3 linked regions of the Sus scrofa genome follow. The protein of the gene in region 1 purifies or fractionates together with the protein of each later gene. This does not show direct contact. Links are inferred from orthologs where the notes say so. Each region holds a gene or a part of one and is shown in the gene's direction. Other genes may lie near its edges. The genes, in order: FBXO22, COPS5 and KDM4B.

The links.
Region 2: the proteins of FBXO22 (region 1) and COPS5 purify together in Homo sapiens (affinity purification with mass spectrometry; 3 studies listed by BioGRID and IntAct, with this or other methods). This does not show direct contact. The link is inferred for Sus scrofa from reciprocal best matches to the Homo sapiens genes FBXO22 and COPS5.
Region 3: the proteins of FBXO22 (region 1) and KDM4B purify together in Homo sapiens (affinity purification with western blotting; 3 studies listed by BioGRID, with this or other methods). This does not show direct contact. The link is inferred for Sus scrofa from reciprocal best matches to the Homo sapiens genes FBXO22 and KDM4B.

What each region holds. Positions count from the first base shown.
Region 1 is NC_010449.5:56,156,866-56,166,559, forward strand, and holds part of FBXO22 (F-box only protein 22), read left to right. Parts: intron 1-4,597; coding exon 4,598-4,685; intron 4,686-5,738; coding exon 5,739-5,834; intron 5,835-9,694. UniProt on the Homo sapiens protein: Substrate-recognition component of the SCF (SKP1-CUL1-F-box protein)-type E3 ubiquitin ligase complex that is implicated in the control of various cellular processes such as cell cycle control, transcriptional regulation, DNA damage repair, and apoptosis.
Region 2 is NC_010446.5:67,750,937-67,760,630, forward strand, and holds the end of COPS5 (COP9 signalosome complex subunit 5), read left to right. Parts: intron 1-862; coding exon 863-974; intron 975-4,795; coding exon 4,796-4,944; intron 4,945-6,986; coding exon 6,987-7,071; 3' UTR 7,072-7,217; downstream 7,218-9,694. UniProt on the Homo sapiens protein: Probable protease subunit of the COP9 signalosome complex (CSN), a complex involved in various cellular and developmental processes.
Region 3 is NC_010444.4:73,884,823-73,895,044, reverse strand, and holds the start of KDM4B (lysine-specific demethylase 4B), read left to right. Parts: upstream 1-5,163; 5' UTR 5,164-5,294; intron 5,295-10,222. UniProt on the Homo sapiens protein: Histone demethylase that specifically demethylates 'Lys-9' of histone H3, thereby playing a role in histone code. Does not demethylate histone H3 'Lys-4', H3 'Lys-27', H3 'Lys-36' nor H4 'Lys-20'.

The sequences.
Region 1 (9,694 bases):
CACCACAGCCCCAGCAACTCAGGATCGAACCTGCAACGTCATGGTTCCTAGTCAGATTTGTTTCTGCTGTGCCACGAAGGGAACTCCTGTGGACTTATTAATGATGGCCATTTCTGACTGGTGTGAGGTGGTACCTCATAGTAGTTTTGATTTGCATTTCTCTAATAATCAGTGATGCTGAGCATTTTTTCATGTCCTTGTTGGCCATCTGTATATCTTCTTTGGAGAAATGTCTATTCAGGTCTTTTGCCCATTTTTCAGTTGGACTGTTGGCTTTTTTGCTGTTGAGTTGTATAAGCTGTTTGTATATTTTAGAGATTAAGCCCTGTCAATTGCATCATTTGAAACTTTTTTCACATTGTCTTTTTGTTTTTTTTTTTTTTTTTTTTTTTTTTTGTCTTTTGTCGTTTGTTGTTGTTGTTGCTATTTCTTGGGCCGCTCCTGCAGCATATGGAGGTTCCCAGGCCAAGGGTTGAATCGGAGCTGTAGCACCGGCCTACACCAGAGCCACAGCTCACGGCAACGCCGGATCGTTAACCCACTGAGCAAGGGCAGGGACCAAACCCGCAACCTCATGGTTCCTAGTCGGATTCGTTAACCACTGCGCCACGACGGGGAACTCCTTTTTTTTTTTTTTTATGGTTTCCTTTGCTGTGTGAAAGCTTGTCAGTTTGGTGAGGTCCTATTGGTTTATTTTTGCTTTTATTTCTGTTGCCTTGGGAGACTGACCTGCGAAAACATTTGTAAGGCTGATATCAGAGAATGTTTTGCTTGTGTTCTCTTCTAGGAGTTTTATGGTGTCTTGTCTTCCGTTTAAGTCTTTCAGCCCTTCTGAGTTTATTTTTGTGCATGGTGTGAGGGTGTGTTCCAGTTTCATTGATTTGCATGTGGCTATCCAGTTTTCCCAGCACCACTTGCTGAAAAGACTGTCATTTTCCCATTTTATATTCATGCCTCCTTTGTTGAAGATTAATTGACCATCGGTGTCTGGGTTTATTTCTGGGTTCTCTATTCTGTTCCATGGGTCTGTATGTCTGTTTTGATACCAGTACCACACTGTCTTCATTACTATAGCTTTGTAATGATGCCTGAAGTCTGGGAGAGTTATGCCTCCTGCTTGATTTTTGTTCCTCAGGACTGCTTTGGAAATTCTGGGTCTTTTATGTTTCCATATAAATTTTTGGATTGTTTGTTCGTTCTAGTTCTGTGAAAAATGTCATGGGTAGTTTGATAGGAATTGCATTGAGTCTGTAGTTTGCTTTGGGTAGTATGGCCATTTTTATAACATTAATTTTTCCAACCCACAAGCATGGCTATCTTTCCATTTCTTTGAATCCTCTTTAATTTCCTTGATTAATGTTTTATAGTTCTCAGCATATAAGTCTTTCAGCTTCTTGGTCAGGTTTATTCCCAAGTATTTGATTTTTTGGGGTGCAATTTTAAAAGGTATTGTATTTTCTAATATTTAATTGTTAGTATACAGAAATGCGACTGATTTCTGAATGCTAACCTTATATCCTGTTACTTTGCTGAACTTGATCAATTCGAGCAGTTTTGGGGTTGAGTCCTTAGGGTTTTCTATAAATAGTATCATTGTCATCATATTTTCTTTTCCTTTCTTTCTTTTCTGTTTTTTGTTTATGTATCCCTTAACTACTTTTTGTGTCTATAGATGATTTTACTACTTTTGTTTTTCACACTTCCTACAGATTTTTATATTTCTAGTTTTGGTCTTTCTCTTTTTCATTTAGAGAAGTCCTTTTAACATTTCTTGTAAAGGCAGTTTAGAGATGCTGAACTCTTAGGTTTTATTTATCTGTTAAACTCTGTCATTCCTTCAGATCTGAATGATACCCTTGCTAGGTAGAGTGTTCTTGGTTGTAGGTTTTTTCCTTTCATCATGTTGAATATATCATGCCATTCCCTACTGGCCTGCAGAATGTCTGCTGAAAGTCTCCTGACGTTGTGGGAGATGCCTTAATCCCACTAATTGCCTTTTCCTTGATTCTCTCCTAATCTTTAATTTTTGCCATTTTAATTATAATGTGTCTTGGTGTGGACCTCTTTGAGTTCATCTTGTTTGACACTCTGTACTGCCTGTCCCTGATAACTGTTTCCTTTCCCAGGTTAGGGACGTTCTTCAAATAAGTCCTGTCTCTTTCTCTCTCCTCAACTTCTGGGACTTTATAATGTGAATGTTAGTACTCTTGATGTTGTCCCATAGGTTTCTTAAACTACTCTCATTTAAATTTTTTTTTTTTTTTCTGTTCAGCTTTAGTTACTTCTGTTGCTCTGTCTTCTAGTTCACTCATCCATTTGTCTATCATCTGATTTGCTGTTGGCTCCTTTTTGTAGTTTTAATTATTGTTATTTTCAGCTCTGTTTGGTTCTTCTTTTTGACTTATTGCTAACCTTCTCACTGTATTCATCCATTCTTCTGAGTTCTTTGAGCATCTTTGTGAACATGACTTTGAACTCTGTATTAGGTAGATTGCTTATCTTCACTTTGCTTAATTCTTCCTGTGGGATTTTATCTTATTCCTTTGTATGGAACGTATTCCCCTGTCACTTCATTTTGCTTGATTTTCTGTTTTTATTTCTTTGTATTAAGTAGGTCAGTTATGTTTCCTAATCTTGGAGAGGAGATGCCTCATGGGGCTTGGAAGCACAGTTCCCTTGGGTCACTAGAGTGATAAGCCCTAGGAGTGCCCCTTGTATGGGCTCTGAGAGCCCTTCTGCTGCTGCAAAGCTGACTGCTGTGAGTGTGCTGGTAGGCAGGGCTGGCATCCTGGCCTGGTTGGCCACCAGGTGCTGCGTCATGTGGAGGTTGCCAGATGCTGGTGGGTGGGACTAGGTCTCGGTGAAGTTGGCTCTGGGGCCTGGGGAGGGCCAGGGCTTGTGGCAACTTGCTGGTGGGTAGGTAAGCCCTTGGCACTAGTATGCTAGAGGGAGGGCTGCAAAATGTGTTAGCCAGCACACATGTCCTCCTGCTAGAACAAGCTCACGTAAGTGGCTGCTGCTAGATTTATGTCCCAGGTGGGTCTCTCTCAGGTTCCTTTTAAATTCCTGCCTCTGAGCTGAGACTCAGAGCATAAGAGATTTTGCATGCACCTTTTATGAATGGATTCCCTATTTCCTCAAGCCTGGTAGCTCTTCTGTGCACAAGTGCTGCTGGCCTTCAAAACGAGGTGTTCTGGGGGCTCATCTTCCTGGTGCAGGATCCCTGGGATGGGGAGCTGAGTGTTGGGCTCCGATCCCTCACTCCTTGAGAGAACCTCTGCAATTGTGATTATCCTCCTGTTTGTGAGTCGGCTGTTCTGGGGTGTGAGTCTGGACAATACCGTCTTCCAGTTTCCCCATTCCCCCTTTCTCATGGTGGTTCCTTCTTTATTCTTTAGTTTTGGGAATTTTTTTTTTTTTTTTTTTGCTAGTCTTGAGGTTGTTCCTATCGATAATTCCTCCGTAGGTAGTTGTAGTTTTGGAGTGGCTGTGGTAGAATGTGAACACAAGGTGCTATTACTTTGCTCTCTTAGCTGCTCCTCCCCAAATTATATTCTTTAAAAATGCCTTGTGGACCATCCATAGGTCTTATCCAGCCCTGAGGCCACTGCAGGGTCATCATTCTGTTGCAGTATCTTCTATGAGTTTGTGTGTATGGAATCTACTCTGAAACATCTTAACATTCCCAGATCAACATTTTCACATAATCCATGTTGAGGTTTTGTCATGTGCTAACTGCTTCATTCCATTTTGTTAGTAAAAATCTTTGAAATTTTTAGAAGGAAAAATATGCTCACCCTTTTCATTTAGTTCGTCTACTTTGCCACTTGTCTCTAACAAATTTACAACATGATGTTTGGTGGAAAACATGAGTCTGAATAAGCCCAGGCTGTAAGTGGAGATTAAGGCACAAATAAGAATGACTGGGATGTCAAGGATGTCACATATGAAGTCACTGGTTCTGAGGGACTTTAGGAAAAGTTTTGTAGAGGATATGGCACTTAAGCTGTTTCTTGGGGAAAACAACCTTAAGTCAAGTACAAAAGGAAAAGAACTTCACAAGGAAGAAAAATTTATATACATATATATATAAATATCTATATATATGAGTTTATCTGGATAATAGTAAGCCAGAGATTCCTGTAGAAAACTAGTTGGCAAGCTGGAAATGAAGGCATATATTATTTAATTTGATAGGCAGTGGAAAGAGGAGTGATACAGTCTGTATACTGTCTGTCTGTTGCTGAGATGTTTCTGTTGTCGTGATACCTGTTCATATAAAGCAAATGGAATATTTTGCTGGTACCCAATGTTTTTGTCTTTTTTTGTTTGTTTAAGAGCTTGAATTGTGAAAATGAACTCCTTGGGTCAGGCTGGAATGAGTGTGATGTGAAGAAATAATAGATGTTCAAGAAATGAACGAGCTGAAAATGAAAGTATGAGTGAAAAATGAATGAGAAGTGGATGAACTTAGAATGCTAACACTGATCTAAAGGAGGGTAGGGCAACAGAAATTTGGACCAAGGCAAAACTATAAGGGGCCACAAAAGCAATCATGGATTCCTGTGATCAAATTTTTATTTTTTTTCTTTTGTAGAATGTCCATATCTTACCACGGACAGTTCTTTACATGGCTGATTCAGAAACTTTTATCAGTCTGGAGGAGTGTCGCGGCCATAAAAGAGGTGAATTTCAAAGGAAACAGTTTTGGATTTTTTTTTGTTTCTTTATGTACCTGTGTTTGGACATAAATACTGGTTTCATTCTTAGAGTTATTGACTTTCTGAGGCTATGAGCCCACTCTCTGCAGAAGGCCTCAATATATTCTCTTTGAACTTTGAGGAACCCTCAAAGATTTCTAAACTGTGTGGTACAATTGAAACTAAATCCTTGGAAAGTGTTTTTCTCATTTTGAAATATTTTAACCCTCCAGGGACTTTTTTTTCCTGTTTAAAACAAGATGTCTCTTTTTGACTATTCAAGCCTTTTGTCGTGTTGGATGACCATTTACTAAAGTTATCTGTAGATACTGTGCATTCTTCTTGGCTTGCTAAGTGAAGACGTGCCTAAGTGTCCCAAGATGGGCACAATGAGGCCCAGAGTTAGACTTAGCTAGTGGTACCATTGCCTGATTTGAATCCAGGTGATTGTGTAGTAGAAAAGTCATTATGGGGAGTTCCCGTTGTGGCACAGTGGTTAGCGAATCCGACTGGGAACCACCGGGTTGCAGGTTCGATCCCTGGCCTTGCTCAGTGGGTTAAGGATCCCGCGTTGCTGTGGCTCTGTGTAGGCCGGTGGCTACAGGTCCAATTCAACCCCTAGCCTGGGAACCTCCATATGCCGCGAGATCGGCCCACAAAAGTGGCAAAAAAAAGACCAAAAAAAAAAAAAAAAGAAAACAAAAAGAAAAGTCATTATGCTTTAATATCAGCTGAACGGATGTCAGATCTGAAATTCAACTGCTACTGCTGATGTCATTGAAGCAGAAGCAGCATGTGAACAAATGGAAAAGGGAAATTGTCAATGCTGAAGGTCAGACTTAGAATTTAACATATAAAACGGGCTTGAAACAGAAAACATTTTGTTGTGAATCCAAGCTTTTAGATTTCCTTGTAAAGCGTTCTGGTGTAAAATGACTTAAATTTTATTTAATATTTGCTTTTTTTTTTTCCCCCTCCTTGAAGCATTAGACTTTATTAAGTGGATGACTTTGAATAATCTTGCTCCTGTCATTACAGCCAGGAAAAGAACTACTATGGAAGCAGCATTTGCCCTTGAGAAGCTCTTCCCAAAACAATGCCAAATCCTTGGGATTGTGACCCCAGGAATTGTAGGTGAGAGAATACCAGCTTGATTCCCTGCCTTGCATTAATGTGGGGTCCTATAGATTGGTGTGTTATTTGTAGCCTAAAGCACATATTTTTGACCTTCCAAAATTCAGTTAAGTTAGTCATATGTACCATTGTATTATATTTGACTTGTTAGGTTATTGTGGTTAATATTTGAAATCTCAGGGCTGTCCATACAAACCAAAATGTAATTCAGATCTTTCCAGCAACTGCTCATAAGAGAACAAAGATCTCATTCTTCCTCCCTACAAATCAGAAGGTAGTAGTGAGCATTCTCACTTTTGTCACTTCAGCCAGAAGTGAGTAGGGATGAGCTAGGGCTAGGATCAGGAGCTGCAGGCTGCCTTAGTAGGAACACAGGGACGGCCTTCCATTTCTCATTTTGGTTGCCCCTATTTAAAGTTTATAGCATGAGGTTGTGGCCTTTTCCAAGTTCGCTGTTGGTGAATTTTTGCTGGTTTTGATTTTTGATTCTCTTCTCTAGCTAATGGGGGAGTGGGATCCTGTCCAGGCAGCCATCGTGCCACGGTTCAGATCCCAGGCCTGGGATCCCAGCTGTACCACTTAGTATCTGTACGACTTTGGGCAAGTTAGCCGACCTCGTGGAGTTTCAGTTTCCCCATCTATGAAATGGGGGTGGCTGACAGTACCTCCTCACAGGGTTTGAGGAGTAAGTGATTTAGCGCATGTACGGCATTAAAAATTGAGATATGCAGTTCCCGTCGTGGCGCAGTGGTTAACGAATCCGACTAGGAACCATGAGGTTGCAGGTTCGATCCCTGGCCTTGCTCAGTGGGTTAATGATCCGGCGTTGCCGTGAGCTGTGGTGTAGGTTGCAGACGCGGCTCGGATCCTGCATTGCTGTGGCTCTGGCGTAGGCCGGTGGCTACAGCTCCGATTCGACCCCTAGCCTGGGAACCTCCATATGCCGCGAAAGCGGCCTAAGAAATGGCAAAAAGACAAAAAAAAAAAAAAAAAAATTGAGATATACAGGAGGCAGGGAATAAATGTTGGCTGTTACTATTTTCTTTGTTCCTCGCAGTAGTACTCCATAATTGTCATTTCTAGTCTTCACCGAGAAACTCTGGATGAGAATTTGAGTCTTGTGCAATGAAGTACAAAGAATTTCAAGTGTCTGCAGATGAATAAAGGAAAACATATGGTTGATGGGGCCTGTTTTCTCTCTCCTGTCAGCTCCCACCTTTATTTTCAGCAGCCCCATCACCAGACATTTCATTTCTCAGTGGATTAAAAAATGACAACAGCGACTGATTTTCTTAACTTTTGAGTTTCCCTTGAATGCATAATCTAGTTTTTAACCATTATTCGTTATTAACAAACTCTTCCATAGAAACATAGCTTTCATTTCTTACGTCATTCTGTTAGGCCTCCCCGCCCGACCTAGTGAGGCTTCCTCAGAGTGTGACCGGTTTCTCCTCTTTAAAATGTCAGCTGGGGCAGGAGCAGGAGAGGGCCGGCAGACCTGGGCCACGCTCTGGCCTCCACGGCCCCATGGTGAGGGCCTGAAGCTTCCTCTTGTACTTACTTGCCTCGTCTCAGGGCAGCTGCGTGCCTTTCTCCCAAGTTCTCTTAAGGCCTCAATGTCAGGGAATGCCATTCCAGCTCCCTTGAGTCAGGACCTGTCCTCTTGCTTGTGTTTTCTCAGACCTGCTCCTCACCTTTCTTGTTTCTCATTCCCGACAGCTCTGCTTTCTTTGAGCCACGTCCATGCATGTCACAGCAAAACTTCTGCCAAGATGGTTGATTGTTTTCCTTTTTCTTAGGCCTTAAGTGAGTGTTTCTAAAGCAGCCATTGGCTACTGGCCCATCGTCCTTCTTTAGGATGGAAAATTTTCAAGGTTGAGAATTTGTTCATTTTTATATACGCAGAGATGATTTTCTTTCTTAATTGAGTGAAATGTACAATCCTAAGTGTACCATTTAATGAGTTTTGACAAATTCATATCCTGGTGAAGCTGACATGCTAGTCAAGATGTAGAATATTTCCATCACTCAAGGAGGTTCCCTCGTGCCCTCCTCTGCCGCTCCTTAGCTGCCACTGGAAACCCCAGTCCCATTTCAGTGACCAAAGATTCGTTTGGCCTGTTGTTGAATGTCATATAAATGGAATCATTCAGTATATACTCTGTATGCATTGGCTTTTTCACTCAGCTTTTTTTTCTTAACCTCATGAATATTTTTGAGATTCATTTATGTTATATTGTCCACCAGTAATTCATTTTAAAAAATTCTGGGGAGTTCCCGTCGTGGCGCAGTGGTTAACGAATCTGACTAGGAACCATGAGGTTGCGGGTTCGGTCCCTGCCCTTGCTCAGTGGGTTAACGATCCGGCGTTGCCGTGAGCTGTGGTGTAGGTTGCAGACGCGGCTTGGATCCCGTGTTGCTGTGGCTCTGGCGTAGGCCGGTGGCTACAGCTCCGATTCAACCCCTAGCCTGGGAACCTCCATATGCCGCGGAAGCGGCCCAAGAGATAGCAACAACAACAAAAGACAAAAGACAAAAAAAAAAAAAAAAAAAAAAAAAAAATTCTGGGGTAGTATTCTGTGACCTAACTTGAATTAACTTTTGTGTATGGTAGAGGTAGGCTCAAGGTTAATTTTTTTTTCTTCATCTGTTTATCTAGTTCTTCCTTCACCATTTGTTGAATACTTTGCATTCTTATTAAATTTTTTCAGCACCTTTGTCAAAATTAATTGACTGTGCGTGTGGATCTGTTTCTGGGTTTCATTCCATTCCATTGATTTAATTTGTGTATCCTTAAGCCAATGCTATTTTACTGTAGGTCTTGATGTTCTTTTTAAAAATTGCTTTGATTATCTAGGTCCTTTGCATTTGCACAAATATTTTGGAATCATCCTGTCAATTTCTAGAAAAAGCTATTGGGATTTAATTTACATTATCTTGAGGCCTGCTACAGACAAAAAAAATGTTTTTATGTTTTGGTATTTTTTGTAGAGGGAGGTCTCATAATAAACTTGGAAATTTTATTTTGATGTTTTAAATTAAGAATAGATTATGTGGTGTTTGATTTGATTCTGAAATTTTCTGAGTATTTTTTTTTTCATTTTGTTCTATCCTTGGTTCCTAAAAGGCTTAACCCTTTTGTTTTGTTTTACTAGTAATAGTCATTTATTGTTTAAAAAAGGGAAAGAAAAATTAGAAGATAAACACAAAAGAAAATACTTAAGCAATTTTAAGCTTAAAATAACGATTAATGTTATGACGCATAAACTAGGCTTTTAGTACTATACATAGCTGTATGTATATGTGTGTATATGTATATATGTGGGTATGTATATACATGTATGTATATATTAAAATACAATTTTCAATGAATTTGTAATCTACTATATTTGTTTCAGTCTGCTAAGGCTGCCATAATAAAATGTTATAGATGGGGTGGCTTAAACAACAGAAATTTATTTTCCCACATTTCCAGTGTCTGAAAGTCCAAGGTTTTGGCAGGTTTGCTTCCTCCTGAGGCTTTTTCCTTTGGCTTATTTACAACCACCTTGTCTTCTCACTGGGTCCTCATATGGCCTTTTCTCTTTATTCTATGTCATCTCTGTTGTTTCTTCCTCCTCTTGAAAGGACAGCAATCATTTGGATTGGGCCCCCACCCTTATGACCTCATTTAACTTCTTTATTTAAAAAGCCTTATCTCCAAATACAGTCGCTCTACACATAGACACAGTTTATGTAATTGTTACATGCTTTTATGACACATTTTTTTCAAGTAGATTTGCTGTGAAGATGTGTTTTCTATCCCCCCCACAACTTTTTGTTTAGAAAGACTTCAGCTCTATAGAAAAGTTGAAAGAATG
Region 2 (9,694 bases), on another chromosome or scaffold:
TAAATCCTACTGTTTCCCTAGGGCTTCTCAGGCAGTTCTTTCCATACTAAGAGTATTCATTATCTCTAACATTTAATTGGTGGGTGGTTAATTTTAAATATGCACTATAGCATCACTTACTGCTTTTCAACATACATCATTACTTTTAACTTCTCATGGATCCATTCCACATTTCTCATAAAAACGGGTAAGCTCCTTAGGTAAAGAAGTCCCTTGTATCTCTTTGTATCCATTGCTGTACAGAATATAGGGAGGTATTTAAATATTTATTACTTTAAAAAAAATTTTTTTAAGTTTTTCAGACATTTAACCCAATTTTCCTTGCTCTCTCTGACTATAAATTAGGCATCTTTGGAAGCAATAGTAATTCTTTTACATGCTTTAAGGACCTACCTTAAAGTTTGCTTTTCCAAAAAGCAGTAGGTCCTACTTAGGGAATTCGAAAGGTAGGAGTGGAGAATCCACATGTTATTTTGGGTATTTTTAAAAGCTTAACAAAAGTTATAGTTGACCCTAGAGAGGTAGTTCAGTTTGTGTGCTATTGACTAGAATTTATGAACTCAATGACATGGATAAACACATGTCATTCAGTAGTTCTGTTTAGTTCTTGCTAACCTCTTAGGAATTTCTGGGCTCTATAGAGGAAAGAAATAAATACAAGAGTGTTTAGTTAATAGAAGATTTGAAGCCATGGCCCTAAAGAGTAAGGAAACTATTTTTAATCTTTTGTTCTATTGGACTAAAAACTAAAATATGACTATTTGGATATAAAGTATAATTCACTTAAATTTGACCTTAACCTCTATATGATGTGGTTGAATTATTGTTTTACTTACCAGATTATTGTGCTTTTTTTTCATAGATACTATGCCTTAGAAGTCTCATATTTTAAGTCCTCTTTGGATCGAAAATTGCTTGAGCTTTTGTGGAATAAATACTGGGTGAATACGCTGAGTTCCTCTAGCTTGCTTACTGTAAGTACTGTGCTTTCAAGGGATGTGACTAAATTTTATCTAATCTATATAAGCTGTTTAACATCTGAAACTCTTTCATGGAAAGGCTATATCTGACTTGGCCAAAACAGTAAGGCTGGGATCAGATTCTTCATGACCAGAGGTAGATTAGGATACTAGGCCAAGTCACAATCTGTGTCATGTACCATTGAGACCAAGTCTAAATGACAAATATAGTGGGCCAGGTGAGGGTGAAATCTGCCTCTGCCTTAAACACCTAACAGAGAAGAATACAGATGCTGTTTTGTCTCAGGTTGGACTCTGGTAACAAGTGACAGGAGACCCAACCAAAGCTGTCTTACACAAAAAAGAATCATGTAAACTCCAAAGTCCAGGAGTTGGGCTTACTTCAGGCATAGCCTAAGTCTGCATTCAGACAATATTATGAGGTCTTGGTCTTCCTCTCTTAGCTTTGATTTCAGGTCAGTTGGCTTCAGTTTCAGACTTCATGTGAAAGCAAGATGGCAGCATTAGCTTAGACCTCTCAGCCTCGCAGTTTCATATTCAGAAGATCAAGATACACATACACACATTCATACATACATACATACAGATGCACATTCCCAGGCAAAGCCTCATTATGTCTGAGTTTTGAGGTTACATACCCATCCTTAAAGCTGCTCTAGGCCAAGGTAATGATCACCTTGAGTGGCTAGACCAGGGCACATGCTTTACTGCTGGGCTGGGGTAGAAGAAAGTCTTTCAGGAGCCACGTGGGCTAAGAATGTCCCCAGAAGGAAATCAGAATATCACTACATAAAAGCAGCAGATGTTGAACAACAACAAGAAAGTCAATAAATATTTTCCAATATATCATTAAAATCTAACATTTACAAGAATATTTAACAAACTTCTATCTAGAGCTTAATAAGAAACAGTTCTGTTTTGGTTTTTTTTAAAACTTCATAGAGTACAGTATAGCATAGTGATTAGAACCACAAAACCTGGAATAAGATCAACTCAGTTCAAAAACAACTCTGCTGCTTTACAAACTGTATATGACCTTCAGAATATTATTTAATGTGACTGAGCCTTTCTTATTATCAATGATAAGAGTACCCACATTGTTAAGTGCACTGAGAATCATATGAAATACTTTATGTGTAAAGCAGTTCGCAAAGTGCCAGGCATTATAATAAAGCCACAGTAAAATTTTTTTGTTGTTTATTGTATTCATGGGAAGAGACCTCACTTGAGCATATTTACTGCGATTTTAAATACAGTTCTAACACGCTTTCCATTCTTTCTTCTTATCCTCAATGGTCAGAAGTAGCAAACTGGAAGGAAGGAGAGTGACCATAATAGCAAATATTTATTCAGTGCTTTCTATGCACCATGCACTGCTAAATGCCTTATGTGTGTGGTGTTTCCTTAGAGACAGGTATACTGATAGCAGCCAGAGGTGACAGATGATGGCAAAAGGAGGAACTGTAAGGCAGGAGTGATCTGAACTTTTGTATAAAAGCAGACAGCTCTACTTACTCAGCCTATGGCTGTCCCTATATTCCAGCACTGCATATATGAGGACATTAATAATTAAGAAAAGGTTATATTGGTGACTTTTTTGTGGTTTTATATATAGTATATTGCAGCACTTTAAGAAAAAAATACATTTTTTTTCAATTCATGTTTCCCCAGCTAATGCATGTAATCTAAAAGTTACCATAAAAAAATCATTTTATGATTTATTTCTCTGTGTATTTTGAAATGTAATTGATTCTTTCTTTATTTTAATAGTATAACTATTTCTGCTACCCTACATTTTTTAATAGCTTGCACTAAATCTTCCAGATGTGAGGTAGTCTACAAACCCTAGGATTTTCTCCAAATCTGTGGAGTAGAATGTATTCATGACCTAAATCATTTAGATCCAGAGAAAGTGAATATAATCACACCTTTAAAAAATATCATAAGTTTGTAAAATCATTGGAAAGCTGGTAACATTTTATAGGGCTCCTTGTAATAACTAAGATGACAGCAAATAACTCTTAAAAAATATCTTCTGGTTGAACTATATTTCCTGTACATGGTCTTACAGACTGAGCAAATAGAATAACAAAAAGATATTCCAATAAAATCTTTTTTAAAATATTACAGTTAAATGTGCATATGTAATTATTAAATTTTTTATTTTTAAAATTTATGAAAGTCTATATCATATTTCAGTTTAACAAATGTGGGTATGCATGTGAGTGTGTGTAGCAATACTCTAAAATACAGCTCTGGTTATAGCGATGTGGAGGGATTATAGGTATTTCCTTTTTTCTGTATATTCCTCTACATTTTCCAAATTTTCTATATAACTATTAACTTTATTTATTTATTTATTTATTGTCTTTTTTTTGCCATTTCTTGGGCTGCCCCCGCAGCATATGGAGGTTCCCAGGCTAGGGGTCAAATTGGAGCTGTAGCCACCGGCCTACGCCAGAGCCACAGCAACGCGGGATCCAAGCCACATCTGCAACCTACACCACAGCTCACAGCAATGCCAGATCCTTAACCCACTGAGCAAGGCCAGGGATCGAATCTGCAACCTCATGGTTCCTAGTCAGATTCGTTAACCACCGAGCCACAACGGGAACTCCAATATAACTATTAACTTTATAATCAGAAAAGCTACAACAAATGTAATTTTTAAAATGCTGATATAAGTACTAATTCTGGAAGTTCAACAAGAAAAAATATAACAAAATTAGCTAACAACCATTAAGCCTTTACCAGGTGCCATGGACAGTCCTAAGAGCTTTATATAATATCACTACAATTTAATCTTCACAATAGCTTTAGGTAGAAATTATCACCTTCCTTCCCCATTTTCACAGGAAGGCTTGAAGGCACAGAAAAGCAAAGGCGCTCTCACAAGGCCTTCCAGTCTGCAGCAGGGCCAGAACCTGGACTCAGACCTGTGTATTTGGAAGCTTCTTATAATAACACATATTAGATTTAAGCAGTCAAAAAGAAAAATTCCAAACTTAGTATTAAAATTATGAAAGGGGAAGAACTCTACATTTGAACTGCATGAGCTTTGGGATCACTTTTTGCAAGTATAATTTGACCTCTTACTTCACTGACTATCTACTTAGATTTCTTTTTTTTTTTTTTTTTTTTTTTTTTTTTTTTGTCCTTTTTGCCATTTCTTGGGCCACTCCCGGCATATGGAGATTTCCAGGCTAGGGGTCTAATCGGAGCTGTAGCCGCCAGCCTACGCCAGAGCCACAGCAATGCCGGATCTGAGCTGCGTCTGCAACCTACACCACAGCTCAGGGCAACACCAGATCCTTAACCCACTGAGCAAGGCCAGGGATCAAACCCGCAACCTCATGGTTCCTAGTCGGATTCGTTAACCACTGAGCCACAATGGGAATTCCTCTACTTAGATTTCATAGTGGAATTATCTGTAAATGAAAGATTCTATATATAACATGGTTGTTTGGGGGTTTTTTTGTCTTTTGTCCTTTTTAGGGCCGCACCCTCGGCATATGGAGGTTCCCAGGCTAGGGTTCTAATTGGAGCTATAGCCACTGGCCACAGCCACAACCCACAGCCACAGCAACTCCAGATCTGAGCCGCATCTGTGACCTACACCACAGCTCACAGCAACGCTGGATCCTTAACCCACTGAGCAAGGCCAGGGATAGAACCCGCAATCTCATGGTTCCTAGTAGGATTCATTTCCACTGCGCCACAACAGGAACTCCAAAAGATCCTATATAGAAGAAAATTTTGTTTTTTTTAATGATAGACTTGTTCTATATATAGACACAATATCATTTTCCCCACAGAATGCAGACTATACCACCGGTCAGGTCTTTGATTTGTCTGAGAAATTAGAACAATCAGAAGCCCAGCTGGGACGAGGGAGTTTTATGTTGGGTTTAGAAACGCATGACAGAAAGTCAGAAGACAAACTTGCCAAAGCTACACGAGACAGGTAAGAGCAAATCTATTCCTCACTCTTTTCTTTCAATATTCAAATTCCTTATGGCTCAACTTACTTATAACTTAGAATGGTACTTGAATATTAACTTCTTTGGGCCTTTAAGAGTTGTCAAAAGCAGGTTTCAGCTGAAATTCTTAAGACGGTAACTAAGAACATCAGAGTCTAAAAGGTCTAGGTAGTGTATGAAAAATTCCCAGTTACCTTTTCTAAGTTCAGCTAGAAACTGTAAGAACGAAAACTAGTCCATTGCTGGACCTTTAAAAAACAAAAACTTGCAAAAGGATGCCCTAACCTGTTCTAACCTTATCATCTAAAGGATTAAATTAGAATTTCTTAAATTTAAAGTTTAACCCCATAAATATCTGATAAATGATTGTATCTCTCTTAATTTTATGTAATAATTCTTTATACAGTATTTTAGTATCCCAAATTTTACTACCAAGAATTTGTTATGAACTTGGGATAGGTTCTCTAATAACATAGGAAATAATTACATGGTGGTCCTTCAGATGCATACAGGATTGGAAAGACTACCAAAAAGCATTTACTTTCACAAAATTTTGAATTGTAATGTGATAGTTAGGAATAGAGAGGGAGGGAAAACTGTGTTGACATCTATATAAACCAATACCTTGGTATCCATTTTTTAAAAACCTGTACCAGTTGGTAAGAAAGAAAAGAGAGAAGGGAGGGCAAAGTGTATTAGAAGTAGATGCCATCTTGGGTTACAATGATCTCATTCCTTTCTTCTCCATGGGTTTTTTAAAGGTATAGAACTAGTAGCCTGGATAAAAATTACATTTTTCTTTGACATGAGATCTTACTTTTGATACTTGATCTTAGTATGTCATTGTGCTCATGTATCTTTATATGTCTCTGATTTACAATTTCATCTGCATTTAAATCTAAATTTCTTATGAAGCAAAAATTTCACTGTGGGAATGTCTCAATTATATAAGAAAAGTAGTAAGAACAAAATTTAAAATAATTTTTAAAAACGATTTTTAAAAAATAGGGAATTTTCAGAGCTCACTTGTGGCTCACTGCGTTAACTATCTGGCATTGTCAGTGCAGCAGCTCAGGTCACTACTGTGGTGCAGGTTCAATCCCTGGCCCAGGAACTTCCACATATCATGGGTGTGGCCAAAAAAAAAAAAATTAGAGAATTTTGCTTTTAGGAGTAACTTTATAAGAATTGCATCTCTTCTGAATATTGGTAGTGTTTTATCATTTTCTTAATCAATTCTAAAATACAAGTCCTTCACTCACTGACCTAACTTTGGCTTTGAATTGTTCAAAGGATGTTTGTGATTATTTCAGGGAGAAAAAGCATAAGATTCTTTAAAATCTTTTTTTTTTTTTTTTTTATGTCTTTTTTGCCATTTCTTGGGCCGCTCCCAAGGCATATGGAGGTTCCCAGACCAGGGGTCGAATTGGAGCTGCAGCCACTGGCCCACACTGGAGCCACAGCAACGCGGGATCCGAGCCATGTCTGCAACCTACACCACAGCGTTGCCAGATCCCCAACCCACTGAGTAAGGCCAGGGATCAAACCCACAACCTCATGGTTCCTGGTTGGACCCATTAACTACTGAGCCATGATGGAAACTCCTAAAATCATTTTTAAAAATTATTCTAAGTAATGAACAAAAAAGAATGGAAGATTTTAATGTAATATTGGAATCAGTCTATAATTCTCAATTATAAAAAACTTCAGTAACCTGAAACAGAATTTTCCCTAACCTTCTGACAAGTAACAAAATTAACTTCTATGATTTATATCAAATTTTACATTGTCATTCTCTTGGAAAGGTGTTAGTAAGTAATGAAATGGTCAAAAAACATGCAGGAGGCTAAAATTCACTATAGTAAACAATAAAGAATAAGCTGTAAATTGGTATGGTTTGGTATATGTGAATAGAACCAAAAATCATTATTGTGGGTATAAGGATAGATGTGGGGGTGGGGGAACTTGCATGTTTGAAACAGTTTTTAATTATCGTGACATTATGTGATGTATTTTTTCTTTCCAGCTGTAAAACTACCATAGAAGCTATCCATGGATTGATGTCTCAGGTTATTAAGGATAAACTATTTAATCAAATTAACATCTCTTAAACAATCACAAAATAGTACTTTTGCCAGTATGAGAAAAATACGCAAGTAACAATTTAAAACCAGTTACCAAAAATACGATTAGAAGAATAAGGTGCTCTGAAGTGTCCTGAATATTAACATCCTATAATAAAATTCTTTAAATGAAATTGTTCTTTGATTGTTTTCTGGGAGGGGATACATTATTTTACTAGTATCCTTTAATGTTCTTTTTTTTTTTTTTTTTTTTTTTTTTTTTTTTGTCTTTTTGCTATTTCTTTGGGCCGCTCCCGCGGCATATGGAGGTTCCAGGCTAGGGGTCTAATCAGAGCTGTAGCCACCAGCCTACACCAGAGCCACAGCAACACGGGATCCGAGCCGCGTCTGCAACCTACACCACAGCTCACGGCAACGCCGGATCGTCAACCCACTGAGCAAGGGCAGGGACCGAACCCGCAACCTCATGGTTCCTAGGCGGATTCATTAACCACTGCGCCACGACGGGAACTCCCTTTAATGTTCTTAAATACAAAAAAAAAAAAAAATATTTATTAGAGCTTTCCTATTTTTTAAAGAGCCTTGCCTATCTAAATTAGTCAAAAGATTTCAGCATTTCACCTAACATACTGACTGTCGGAGCCACTTTTCAATTTACCGAAGACCACCTCTTTGTTAAATCTAATGAAAAATCTTTAGGCTTGGTTTTCCTCGACTTCTGGGCCACATGTGAAGTCACTCATACATTACTTCTTAAAGTTTTCTTCTCTGCTGTTGTGGTCTCTTATTCTAACCATTTTATATTTGATGGGAGCTAAAGAGTTTTAAACAACAGAAATGTACCAGTCTGATGTTTCTAAGAACATTTTATTAAGAAAGTTGTAGACCAGGGCTAGATGAGATGATTTGTGGAAATAAGAATTAGATGCCTTCTTTTGACAGTCTGTTTGTAAAAAATAAAATTTACTGAAACGTTTTTATGTTCCTATGAAACATTAACTAAGTCACACCATAAATTATTCTCCTGAAGATCAAATAATTTATTTGAGAAAGTCTAACACAGGTATCTAGTCAATCAAATGTTCACCAAGCATTTTTACTGAACTAGGCCATTTTGTTCTCTGGAGATTTTTTTTTTTTTTTGATTGTTACTTTTTTTTGTTTTATTATTTTCCCACTGTACAGCAAGGGGATCAAGTTATCCTTACATGTATACATTACAATTACATTTTTTTTCTCCACCCTTTGTTCTGTTGCAACATGAGAATCTAGACAAAGTTCTCAATGCTATTCAGCAGGATCGCCTTGTAAATCTATTCTAAATTGTGTCTGATAAGCCCAAGCTCCCGATCCCTCCCATCAGGCAGCCACAAGTCTTTTCTCCAAGTCCATGATTTTCTTTTCTAAGGAGATGTTCATTTGTGCTGGATATTAGATTTCTGGAGATTTTCTGAACAAGGTAGAATGGCAACATTCCTCACAGAACTTACAACAGAGACTAAAGCTAACTTAAGATGAACCTAAGAATACTGCTATGAAGGGAGAAATAAAGTGTGCTGGGAAACTCTCAGGAGGAACACTTACCACATAGAGGAGTTAACCAGGTAGGCTTCCTGTAGGAAGCGACCTGACATTAAGCTGAAATTTGATAGATTGGAGGACTAGCCAGAAAAAAAATAACAGGTTATGTTTTTATAAGCAAAGAAGATAGCAATGTGAGGAAGGCCAGGGGCAGAGAGCAGGAACCCAGAACCTTCAAAAATTGAGATTTGGAGTTCCCGTCGTGGCACAGTGGTTAACAAGTCCGACTAGGAACCATGAGGTTGCGGGTTTGGTCCCTGCCCTTGCTCAGTGGGTTAAGGATCCGGCGTTGCCGTAAGCTGTGGTGTAGGTTGCAGACGCGGCTCGGATCCTGTGTTGCTGTGGCTCTGGTGTAGGCCGGTAGCTACAGCTCCTACTGGACCCCTAGCCTGGGAATCTCCATATGCCACGGGAGCGGCCCAAGAAATAGCAAAAAGACCGAAAAAAAAAAAAAAAAATTGAGATTCGGTTAGATCTGAGAGTGTCGAATAGTTTGTATGGAGTAACAGAGATGACTTCAGTCAGTAAGATGAGCATAGATCCTGCAGGGGCCTTTTGGATTTTATCCTAACAGCAATAGGGAGCTAAAGAGTTTTAAACAGGAATGTACTAGTCAGTTTCCAAGAGCACTCAAGAAAGTTGTGGGCTGGATCAGATTAGATGAGATGAATTTGTGGAAATAAGAGGGCCCAAGACAAATCATGGCATACATCAAATTTTAAATGGTCAGAGGAAGAGGAGACCATGAGAGCAGAGAAGTAAGAAAACTTTAAGAAGTAATTTATAAGTGACTTCACATAAGGCGCAAGGTCAAGGAACACAAAGCCTAAAAGTTTTTCATTTAGATTTAGCAAAGAGGTGGTCTTTAGTAAGATGAGGAAGCCAATTATTACTAGCATCCAAATACCTTCTCAGACAGTTGATGACATAATAGCATTTTTGGTCTCATTTGATAATCCTTTAAATAAAGGCACCCCAATTTGAGATAGCATGACCTAGCCTCCATTTTTAGGCACTTAAAAAAAAAAAAAAACCATGGGAGTTCCCGTTGTGGTGCAGTTGTTAACGA
Region 3 (10,222 bases), on another chromosome or scaffold:
CCTTTTTCGGCTGCACCTGTGGCATATGGAAGTTCCCAGGCCAGGGGTCAAAACCAAGCGCCAGCTGTGATCTACTCCACAGCTGCAGCAGCACTGAATCCTTAACCAACTGTGCCACATTGGGAACTCCCTGGTTGACTTTCGTAATGTAAAACTTTCTTCTTCCACTCAGTTTTATAAAATTAGTACATAATCCCTCTAGAACACTGAGAAGCTGAAAAATGGAGAAAAAGCCAAAACATAATGCCACCCCCCAGAGGATTAGCATATAGCAATATTCAACCTCAGAACAACCGTGTGATGGAGGTCCCCACCGCCACTCCCTGCACCTGCAGCATGTGGAAGTTCCCAGGCCAGGGATCAAACCCTCACCACAGCAGTAACCCGAGCTGCAGCAGGGCAACGCTGGATCCTCAACATGCTGTGCCACCAAAGAATTTCTATATGTTTTATACGTAATTTTTATTTTTTATTTTTATTTTTATTTTTATTTTTTGTCTTTTTGCCTTTTCTAGGGCCACTCCTGCAGGATATGGAGGTTCCCAGGCCAGGGGTCTAATCGGAGCTGTATCTACCAGCCTACACCAGAGCCACAGCAACTCGGGATCCAAGCCGCGTCTGCAACCTACACCACAGCTCACAGCAACGCCGGACCCTTAACCCACTGAGCGAGGCCAGGGATCGAACCCACAACCTCATGGTTCCTAGTCGGGTTCATTAACCACTACACCATGATGGGAACTCCAATATATGTAATTTTTAAAAGCAGCATTAGGATGGTTGTGTGTACAGTGTCTTGTGCCTGTTTTTTTATTCGGTTCAATGATGGGGTGGATGCTTTGTCTTAGCATCTCAGTAAACATGTGAGTTGTGGTCTGGAGTATGTATTATCTTTCTGTCTGTGCTCCTAAAGGTGAAATGTGCTACATGTGTGTCTAGCAATATACGCTTGGCATGAAATGGAATGTCTGAATTCTTCAAATGTGTGTGTATATATATATATATATATTTTAATGGCTGTGCCTGGGCCAGGGATTGAATCTGAGCCACAGTTGTGACCCAGGCCGCTGTAGTCAGACTTTATATATATATATTATATATAAAGACTTTATATATATATATAATATCAGACTTTATATATATATAAATATATATATAATCAGACTTATATATTATATATATATAATCAGACTTTATATATATATATAATATAATATATAATATATATAATATATGTTATATATATAATATATATTATATTATATAATGATTTTTAATTCTTTCCATTATAGCTGGTTTACAGTGTTCTGTCAATTTTCTACTGTACAGCAAGGTGACCCAGTTACACATACATGTATACATTTTTTTTTCTCACATTGTCATGCTCCATCATAAGTGACCAGACATAGTTCCCAGTGCTACACACCAGCATCTCATTGCTATGTAGTTGGATTCTTAACCCACTTTGCCACAGTGGAAACTCCCCCAAATGTATTGCTGAAAAGTTACTTTTTAAGGACATAGAGGATTTAGTCTATCCATATCTATCTTTTTTTTTTTTCCTTTTTCTTTTGAGGGCTGCACATTTGGCATATAGAAGTTCTCAGGCTAGGGGTCGAATTGGAGCTGCAGTTGTCAGTCACTGGCCTCCGCCACAGCCATAGCAGCTCTTCGACCTACACTGCAGCTTGTGGCAGTGCTGAATCCTTAACCCACTGATCGAGGTCAGGGATCGAAACTGAATCCTTATGGATACTATCTTGGGTTCTTAGTCCACTGAACCACAAGGAGAACTCTCATTTCTATCTTTTATGCATCAGACTAGCCCTTAACGGAAGCTGGAGGGGGTTTTTGAAAAGCATGGGATATTTCTTAGCTCCACACCTTACCCATTCTGGGAAGGTGGAGACCAGTTAGAAACCAGCTAGCCCTGCGTCATCTAAGGCCGGTGCCAGAGGGCCTGCCGGTCTGTCTTAGGGACAGATGCCCCAGCCCTTTGTGAGATCTGTACCCGTCTGCAAAGATTTGAAAACCAGGACAAGTAGGTTGAGTTGTTCCCAAGTTAATTCGTCTGTCCATTGGAAAATTCTGAGAGTGTGTCCTTTCTGCTTTACCTAGGACACCTTTTAATTAAATGACAGTGATTATAGTTTCTCCCTAACAGCTTGTTATGAAAACATTCAAACAGAAAAGTTGAAAGAACTGTTTCATGAACCCTCAAATATACTTGCTGTCTGGGTTCTACAGCTGTGAAGTTTATTTACATAAACAAAATCGGAAAGCTGAGAACCTATTTAGGACCCTCGGTTTAAAAAATTCCAGTAGTTCCCATTTTGGCTTTTCTGGTTAAGAACCCGAGATAGTATCCTTGAAGATGTGGGTTTGATTCCTGGACTTGTTCAGTGGGTTAAAGATTTGGCATGGCTGCAACCTGTGACTTAAGCTGCAGATGTGGCTTGGGTCCGATGTTGCTGTGGCTGTGGTGCAGGATGGCAGCTGCAGCTCCGATTTGAAGTTCCAGCCCAGGAGCTTCCATATGCCGCAGGTGTGGCCCTAAAAAGAAAATAAATTAATAAAAATTTAAAGAAACTCCAGGGTCTAGGAGCTTCCCTGTGGGTTATGGATCTGGTGTTGTCACTGCAGTGTCTTGAGTTGCTGCCGAGGAATGTTTTGGTTCCTGGCCTGGGAATTTCTACGTGCTGTGGGTGTGGCCAAAAAAGTCCAGAGCCTATTGAATCCAATCAACTGGAATTCACTGTGTTATAGGACAAACTAGGAAGTAGAAAAAGAAAGGTTTTGAGGTAGGGGGATCCCTTCATGACGGCATTTTTTTTTTTTTTTTTGGTCTTTTTTTAGGGCCACACCTGTGGCATATGGAAGGAATTCCCAGGCTAGGGTTCCATATCAGTAATGCTGGATACCTAACCCACTGAGCGAGGCCAAGGATTGAACCCAAGTCCTCATGGACACTAGTCAGGTTCGTTACCTCTGAGCCACAACGAGAACTCCCATGATTGCCCTTTTTTCTCTTTTTTGCTTTTTAAGGCTGCACCCACGGCGTATGGAAGTTTCCAGGCTAGGGGTTGAATCAGAACTATAGCCACGGGCCTATGCCACAGCCACAGCTACGCAGGATCCAAGTTGGGTCTGTGAGCTATATACCACAGCTCACGGCAATGCTGGATCCTTAACCTACCGATCAAGGCCAGGGATCGAACCCTTGTCCTCATAGATACTAGTGGGATTCGTTTCCATTGAGCCACGATGGGACTCCCCCTTGATTGCACTTTGACACTGTATTACTGCTACCAAATTACATGTCAGTTCCCCCCTGCCCCCCCGCAGTTCAGGGTGTTCCATGGGAGCAGTTACTACTTCCTATTTTTTAAGTTAAATTTTAACTGCATGAGGAATATCCAAATATGGCCCCATGAGAATGTATAACACACTAGAACAGATGGAAGTCCTTACCAATTACCCTTTTTACCAATGCAGATCCCTCCTCTCCCCAAAGATTTAGTTTTCTCAGTTTAGGGGTGGCCTTGTTTTGCGAGGGGCCACAGGTATGTGCCCTTAGAAACCACACAGCATTATTTGCTGAAGGTTCATTTCCATAATGTTCTGTTCAGAAATTTGGACCATTCTGCAGCTCTCCATGGCTTGTAGACATCATTCTCTGACTGTACCTGTAGATCTACTTCTTTTTTATTCTTTTTTTAATTTTAATTTTTTTGGCTGTACTGGTGGCATGTGGAAGTTCCTGGGCTGCGACCCAAGCTGCTGCAGTGACAACCCCAGGTCCTTAACCCACTGAGCCACAGGGGAACTCCAATCTGTTTTTAATTGCTATAAAGTTAAAAGTATTCTAAAGTACCCAGTGCCACAGGCTGCTTATTTCCTAGAGAGAGATATTTAGAGCAAAATACTGGGAACAATTAGGTACAGTGCTGCAACATCATCCTTGAACTGGCAAGCTGTGAGCTTGGGAGACTTTCTCAGGGTACATGACCTTCAGGAATAGAATGTAGTTACACTTACCGCCTTATAAATCAGTTGCCTGTTTTACACTCCTGCCAGCGAAATGTGAGTGTACCCACTCTACTGCCTGACCGCAATTAATCACCGAAACGATGTTAATGATACACCTTAGCTAAATGCTCACTTTGTGAAGTGACATGGTCAAATTTTACGTGCCTGTTTTCACTTAACTCGTGCAAACTTCCCAGGATAGGAGCAGACCGTGAGGGGGTGTATCACCATCATATCCTTTTCACCGGAGAAAACAAGCCCAGTGAGGTTACTTTGCTCGAGGCCAACCAGTGAGGCACCTGGGCCCAGCTGAGCTTTGAACTGGTCAGGAAGCAGCGAACTCCTCTCGTCCTTCACGTTTTAGGGAAGGTTACCTCATTTTTAGGGGACGTCACCTAATTTTAGCAGGGAGGCCTTGCGCCTTTGCAAAGTTGTATTGTTTGTGATGGAAATGAACTTTTTTTTGAAGGGTCTGGAGGAAAGGAGAGACAGGGGCGCTTCCTGCTTGACTTTTATTTCTCCAGTTCTCCTCCTTTACAAATTGAGTTTTGTTCGTGCTATGTTTCCTAACTCCGGACTTTGCGAAGTGGAGAACGCGGCTCCCAATTTCCGGCTCCGGGTCTCGAACCCACCGCTACGACTCCCAGGCGGGGTGCTGATGTTGTGCTGGGTCTCACGTACTCAGCTGCAGCCTGATAACCAAGGCGGGGCCCGGGCCGTGATTGGCACTCGCCCCAGCCAGTCCGCTCTTGGGGCTGATCCAGTAAGCCAATATTCTCTTGCCCCCGTGCGGTCGTTGGGCGGTCCCCTAGGCGTCCTTGTCAATCCGAGGCCTAGGGCCGTCGCGTTGGTCGCGGCCTCTTGCCTGGCGTGCTCAGCCTGCAATGAGAACCGAGCCGGTCAGCGGGCACGTGGGTGGGCGCCGGCGTGTCCCGGCCGGCAGGCCAATGGCGAGGCGAGACCGGCGCCTGCGCCCGCCCAATAGAGGCGCGCGGGGGGCGGGCCGTGAGGTGTTGATGGGCCCGGTGGAGGGGAGGGGCGGAGCTGTCAGCGTCAGCCAATGGGCGTGCGGGCGTGGGCTCGGGGGCCAATGGCAGCCGGGGCGGAGCTGGAACGCAGCCCTATAAGCCCCACCCGGGGCGCTCACGGAGGGCTCGGCCGCCAGCGACCGAGCGGGGCCCGGCCCGAGCGGGCCTGGGGGTGCGACGCCGAGGGCGGGGGAGCGCGCGCCGCTGCTCCGGACCGGGCCGCGCGCGCCGCCTCAGGTGAGCCCGCGGGGAGGCGGCCGCCGCGTCCGAGCGCGGGCCCCGCTGCGGCCGCCGCCGTCCCCGCGCCGCGCCCGGGGCTGCGGGCGGGCGGGCGCCCGGGACTCGAGGCCCAGGCCTCGGGCGCGGCCTGCTCGGGCCGCAGCCGCCGCGCTTTGTCCCGGCCCGCGAGGCGGTTGGGGGCGTTAACCGCTTGGCCCCGGGCGCCCGCCGGACCTCGGGCGGGGGCGGTGCGGCTGGACAATGGCGGGGCCGGGGGCGGGAGGCGGGGGCGCCCTGCCCGGGCCAGGGGCGCGCGGGGGCTGGGCCAGGGCGTCCCCGTCGGCCCCGCACAAAAGATGACAGCGTGGGTGGCCCGGCCCGGCTGGCCCTGCCTGGCAGGGCCCTCCCCTTCTATTATTCACAACAATCCTAATGATTTAAAAAATAATAATAAAGAGAAAGAAAGAAATCCCAGGCCCTGGGTGAAGCCCGCCTGCATTTCCAGCCCTTTGGGCACCGGTGGGGTTAATGAGGCGCTTCCCAGTGGTGCCCCCCCGAAATGTCCATCATTGCATCCCACCCATCTCCCCGAATCAACCCGCCGTTCCATCGCGGCTTCCAAACTCGTCCCCCATTTTCCTGAGCCCCCCTAAATAAGCATGCAACCTGGATTTTTTTTTTTTTTAATGTATCCAGTTGCTATGCATATAGCAGCTTACAGACGCGTGCCCTCAGTGCCTCACCCTGCCGGCCCGAAAGCCATCTCGAAGCCCCCCTTCTCTGTAGAAATAAATCGTAGAGTCCCTCCCGCGGAGACCCCTTGGGCTGTCCCATCCAGCCTCGTGGGAGCTGGGGGACGGATTCATTCTGAAAGGAACCTACTCCAGATCTGCTGGGGCCTGGGTCTCCACCCAGTGGGCGCGATGACACCAGGCAGAATGGGATGCACCTCCGTGGGGCCACATGGAAAGGTTTTACAGAGGATTTTCTTTCCCCTGGGGGCAGGGGAGACATGGACTGTGCCTTGGTGTGTCCCATCTGCTTGGTCGGGGGAGGATGCTTTTGTTTTAATAATTCAGGTGCACCTGGGGAACTGTTTCCCGAGTTATGAAACTATTGAGAAGGTTGTTCTGTTCAGTGGAGCCCAGTGATCCCATCCTGTAATGTGTGAAGAGTGTGTCCTTTTTTCCCCATGTGTTTCTATCAAAGGCATTTATTCAGCCAGCTCCTTTGGGTCAAACTGGGTGCCAGCAATGTCTTAGGGTCTGAGAATGCCTGCCCCCTCCTCTGCCTCGACAGCCATTTATCCCGCTGTCCCCAGGCTGGAGAAAGCCCCTGAAACGGTCTCTTTACATGACTTCTGTGGGCTTTCCTTGTCGCAAGAGCTGATGACTCCCCTAATTCTCAAATAATAGCTTCCTTCTGAGGCATCAGGATAGCTTATCAACTCATGGGTCAGCCTTCTCTCTCCACCCTTGCAAGAACAGTGGGCAGCCGCTCTGTCTTTGCAGTTAGTTTGTTTTTTGGAACCCCAAAGGACGGAATGTGAAAGTCTGGAGTCAACTTGTGCTGATCTGAGTGGAGGGTTTCTGAAACTCGCCGGCCCTCTTTCTGTGTTTCTGATTGGATGCTGGGCAAATCATGATGCTCCCCATTCGTGCCGGGGGCACCTCCTCGGTCAGACTGCTCTGCCCTGGGGGAGGGCAGTGCCAGGAGCAGAGGTGCAGTTGCTTGAATGCTCCCAGGTTTTGTGGCGATTCCAGCAGATACAGTGTCACATGCTGTGTGTGTGTGTGTGTGTGTGTGTGTGGGAGAGAGAGAGAGAATGAGTGTGTAGTTGTTGAGAGGAAATGTATATAGGTCTTAGTAACAATTGATTCTGATCCTTGTCGCTTTGGGGAAGTGGGCTGCTAAGGAGATGTTAAATACTAGAGCTTAAAGGTATGGCTGATCGGTCATTCCCGACTCCGCCCTGCCTTTGTTGTACTTTTCTGCGTCCTAGGAAAGACCCTTCCCCAGTCCCTCTGGGGCTGTTGGGGGCCCTCTCTGCCCCTGTCTCCCACCCCCGCTGCTCTGCTTGACCCCGCGTTTCTCCGCCTCCTCTGCTGGCTTCTGGCCCCTGCCCTCTTGTGCCCTGCCCCTTCCCCTGGCTGGCCCGGCAGAGCCTCAGTCCTTGCGTCCATCCCACACTCACCTGGCCTGGGGATGTTGGGTTCGTTGAGCACTGGGGCAGGTTTCGTGGAGTCTCTAACTTCGGGGGGCTTTGGGTCTAGTGGGGGAAGGGGAGGGATGGGTGTCTAGGGCTGTGGGGCACAGCTGTGCTGGCGAGGTGGAGGCCTGGCTCGGGGTGGGCAGTACGGCCCACAGTGTGGGCAAACAAGCATTTCTGGGTGGCTCTCTTCCCCGGAGTCCAGAAGTGTGGTGGACAGGCTCCAAGCTGTGAGACCTTGTGCCCATCACTTGCTCAAGAGCAAAGGTGGAGGGGTGGGGGTCACTAAACTTTCCCAAGCCTACTAGGAAGCTGGGGTGGGGGAAAGCAGAGGAACTATGGGCCATTGCCTGACCATGAGGGCCCTGCAAAGCAGCTGTGAGGTCACCCCATGCTTCTCCAACAGCCTGGGCCTGGTTCCTGGCTGTGCTCCAGAGACCTGCTCCAGGGCTGCTCAGTGGGGACTCACTGCCACGGTTCTTACCTGCCCCAGTCCTGGTCCCTTGCTTCTGGCCTGAGTACCCAGAACATCAGCCAGGCGGGGAAAGGGGCTGAACGTGAACTCCCTTTTGACCTGTGTTCTTGGTGGGGTTCCTGAATGCCTGTCCTCCCCTCCATTCCCCAAACGGAATCTGAGAGACCTGGGTTCAGATCCCTCCTCTGGGTCAAGTCACTTCATCATTCTGGGCCTCGGTTTCCGCATCTGTATGATGGGTGTCATAAGAGCCCATCCTCGGTTATTGAGGAGATCAAAGGAGATGAAAGTCACTGAAGTGCTTCTCATGATGCCGGGGCGCTGAATTCTTCCTGCTCTCAGGGTCCCTCCCTACTCTGCCTTGTCTACATCCAAGCCCAGGTTGTTCTCTGGGGATGGCGGGCACGTCCCAGGCACTGTGAGGTGTTGAGCAGCATCCCTGACCCCCTATCCCATTGATGCCAGTAGTAACCCCTCCCCCCTAGTTGTGACAACCACAATGTCCTCAGACAGCAACCAGTGTCCCCCAGGCACACAGTTTTCCCCAGGTGACATCCCTCTCACTTAACCTCTAACCCCACAGCAGCCTGGTATTTAGCCATGACCCTGATCCGCCTCAAGTTCTGGGTCCCTCTGTCCCCTTCCTCTTTGCCGCCCCATTTAAAAGGGAGGGGCTCACATTTGCAGGCTCTCATTTCCAGCCACCCTGGGGCCAGCCAGGCGTGGTGTGGGGGGGTCTCCGAAGCAGGGCCCCTACCCAGGCTCCCAGGATCTGGAATTGCAGTGGGCAGGCTTAGAGCTGTGTGAGCTGCGCCTGTCAGTTGGCTTTCACAGTTTTCTTCAAGTCGGCTCCGAGGTGACTCACTCCTCATCTTCGCCTCCTCCTGAGCAGTGATGTCCGTGGTCACGGGACTGTTAATGCGCCAGCTGCAGATGCTTTTACACAGTGAAATGCATTTAACTACGATACTTAGAGTCTGTACCGCCGCAAGACTGAGACCACAGCGGATCTGTGCGTCCACGTTGTGTTTGGATGGCTCGGTTTTTGGTTACTCGCTGCTGCTTTGACTTGGCCTGTTCTGGGGCATCTCGTTGGTTAGATAAAGCGTCACAACTCGTCTGTCCATGTTCAGTCCTGCTCCCTCGAGGGGCTTTTACAGACTGGAAAAACGGCCTTCCTTTGCTCAGGGCCCTCCAGTGGCTTCCTGGTGTCCTTGGGAAAAGTTGCAGACCCTTCCCGTGGCCTCTCTCTTCTGTCCTCCGGGGTGCGCTCCTCTCCCACCATCCGCGACCCCTCACTCCTTTGCCTCCTCCCTTGGGTCAGAAACCACTTTCCCTGCCTCCTCTTCTCTGCCTCAGGGCCTTTGCATGTGGTGTGCCCTCTGCCAGAACACTGTTCCCTCAGGTCTCCCCCCAGCTGGCTCCTTGTCATTCAGGTCTCTGCTCAGAGACACAGTCCCTGACCCTCTGCCTAAATTCACCCTTCCGTCCACCTGCTCTCCCTAGCCTATCCTTTCTTCTTTGCATTCTGCACTACCAGAAGTGTTTATTAATCTCTTTATATATTTATAGTCTGTCTCATCCACTGAGGCAGAAGCTTTTCTTATGAAGGGTTAGAGAGGAACTATTAATGGCTTTTTTTTTTCAATCTTTTGTCTTTTTTTTTTTTTTTTGTCTTTTTGCCGTTTCTTGGGCTACTCCTGCAGCACATGGACGTTCCCAGGCTAGGGGTCTAATCGGAGCTGTAGCCACTGGCCTACGCCAGAGCCACAGCAACATGGGATCCAAGCTGCGTGTGCAACCCACACCACAGCTCCCGGGAACGCCAGATCATTAACCCACTGAGCAAAGCCAGGGATCGAAACCTCATGGTTCTTCGTTGGATTCGTTAACCACTGCACCACAATGGGAACTCCTCAATCTTTTGTCTTTTTTTTAGGGCCACAACCATGGCATGTGGAGGTTCCCAGGCTAGGGCTCGATTCCGAGCTGTAGCCACTGGCCTACACCACAGACACAGCAATGCCAGATCTGAGCTGCCTCTGCGACCTACATACAGCAAGGCTCATGGCAACACCAGATCCTTTAACCCACTGAGTGAGGCCAGGGATCAAACCCATGTCCTCATAGATCCTAGTCGGATTCATTACCACTGAGCCAAGATGGGAACTCCTGTTTACTGCTTTGCAGGTTGCAGGTGGGACAGTCTCTGTCCTGACCACTCTGTTCTGCCCTCGTAATGCAAAAGTGCGGAAGCAAATG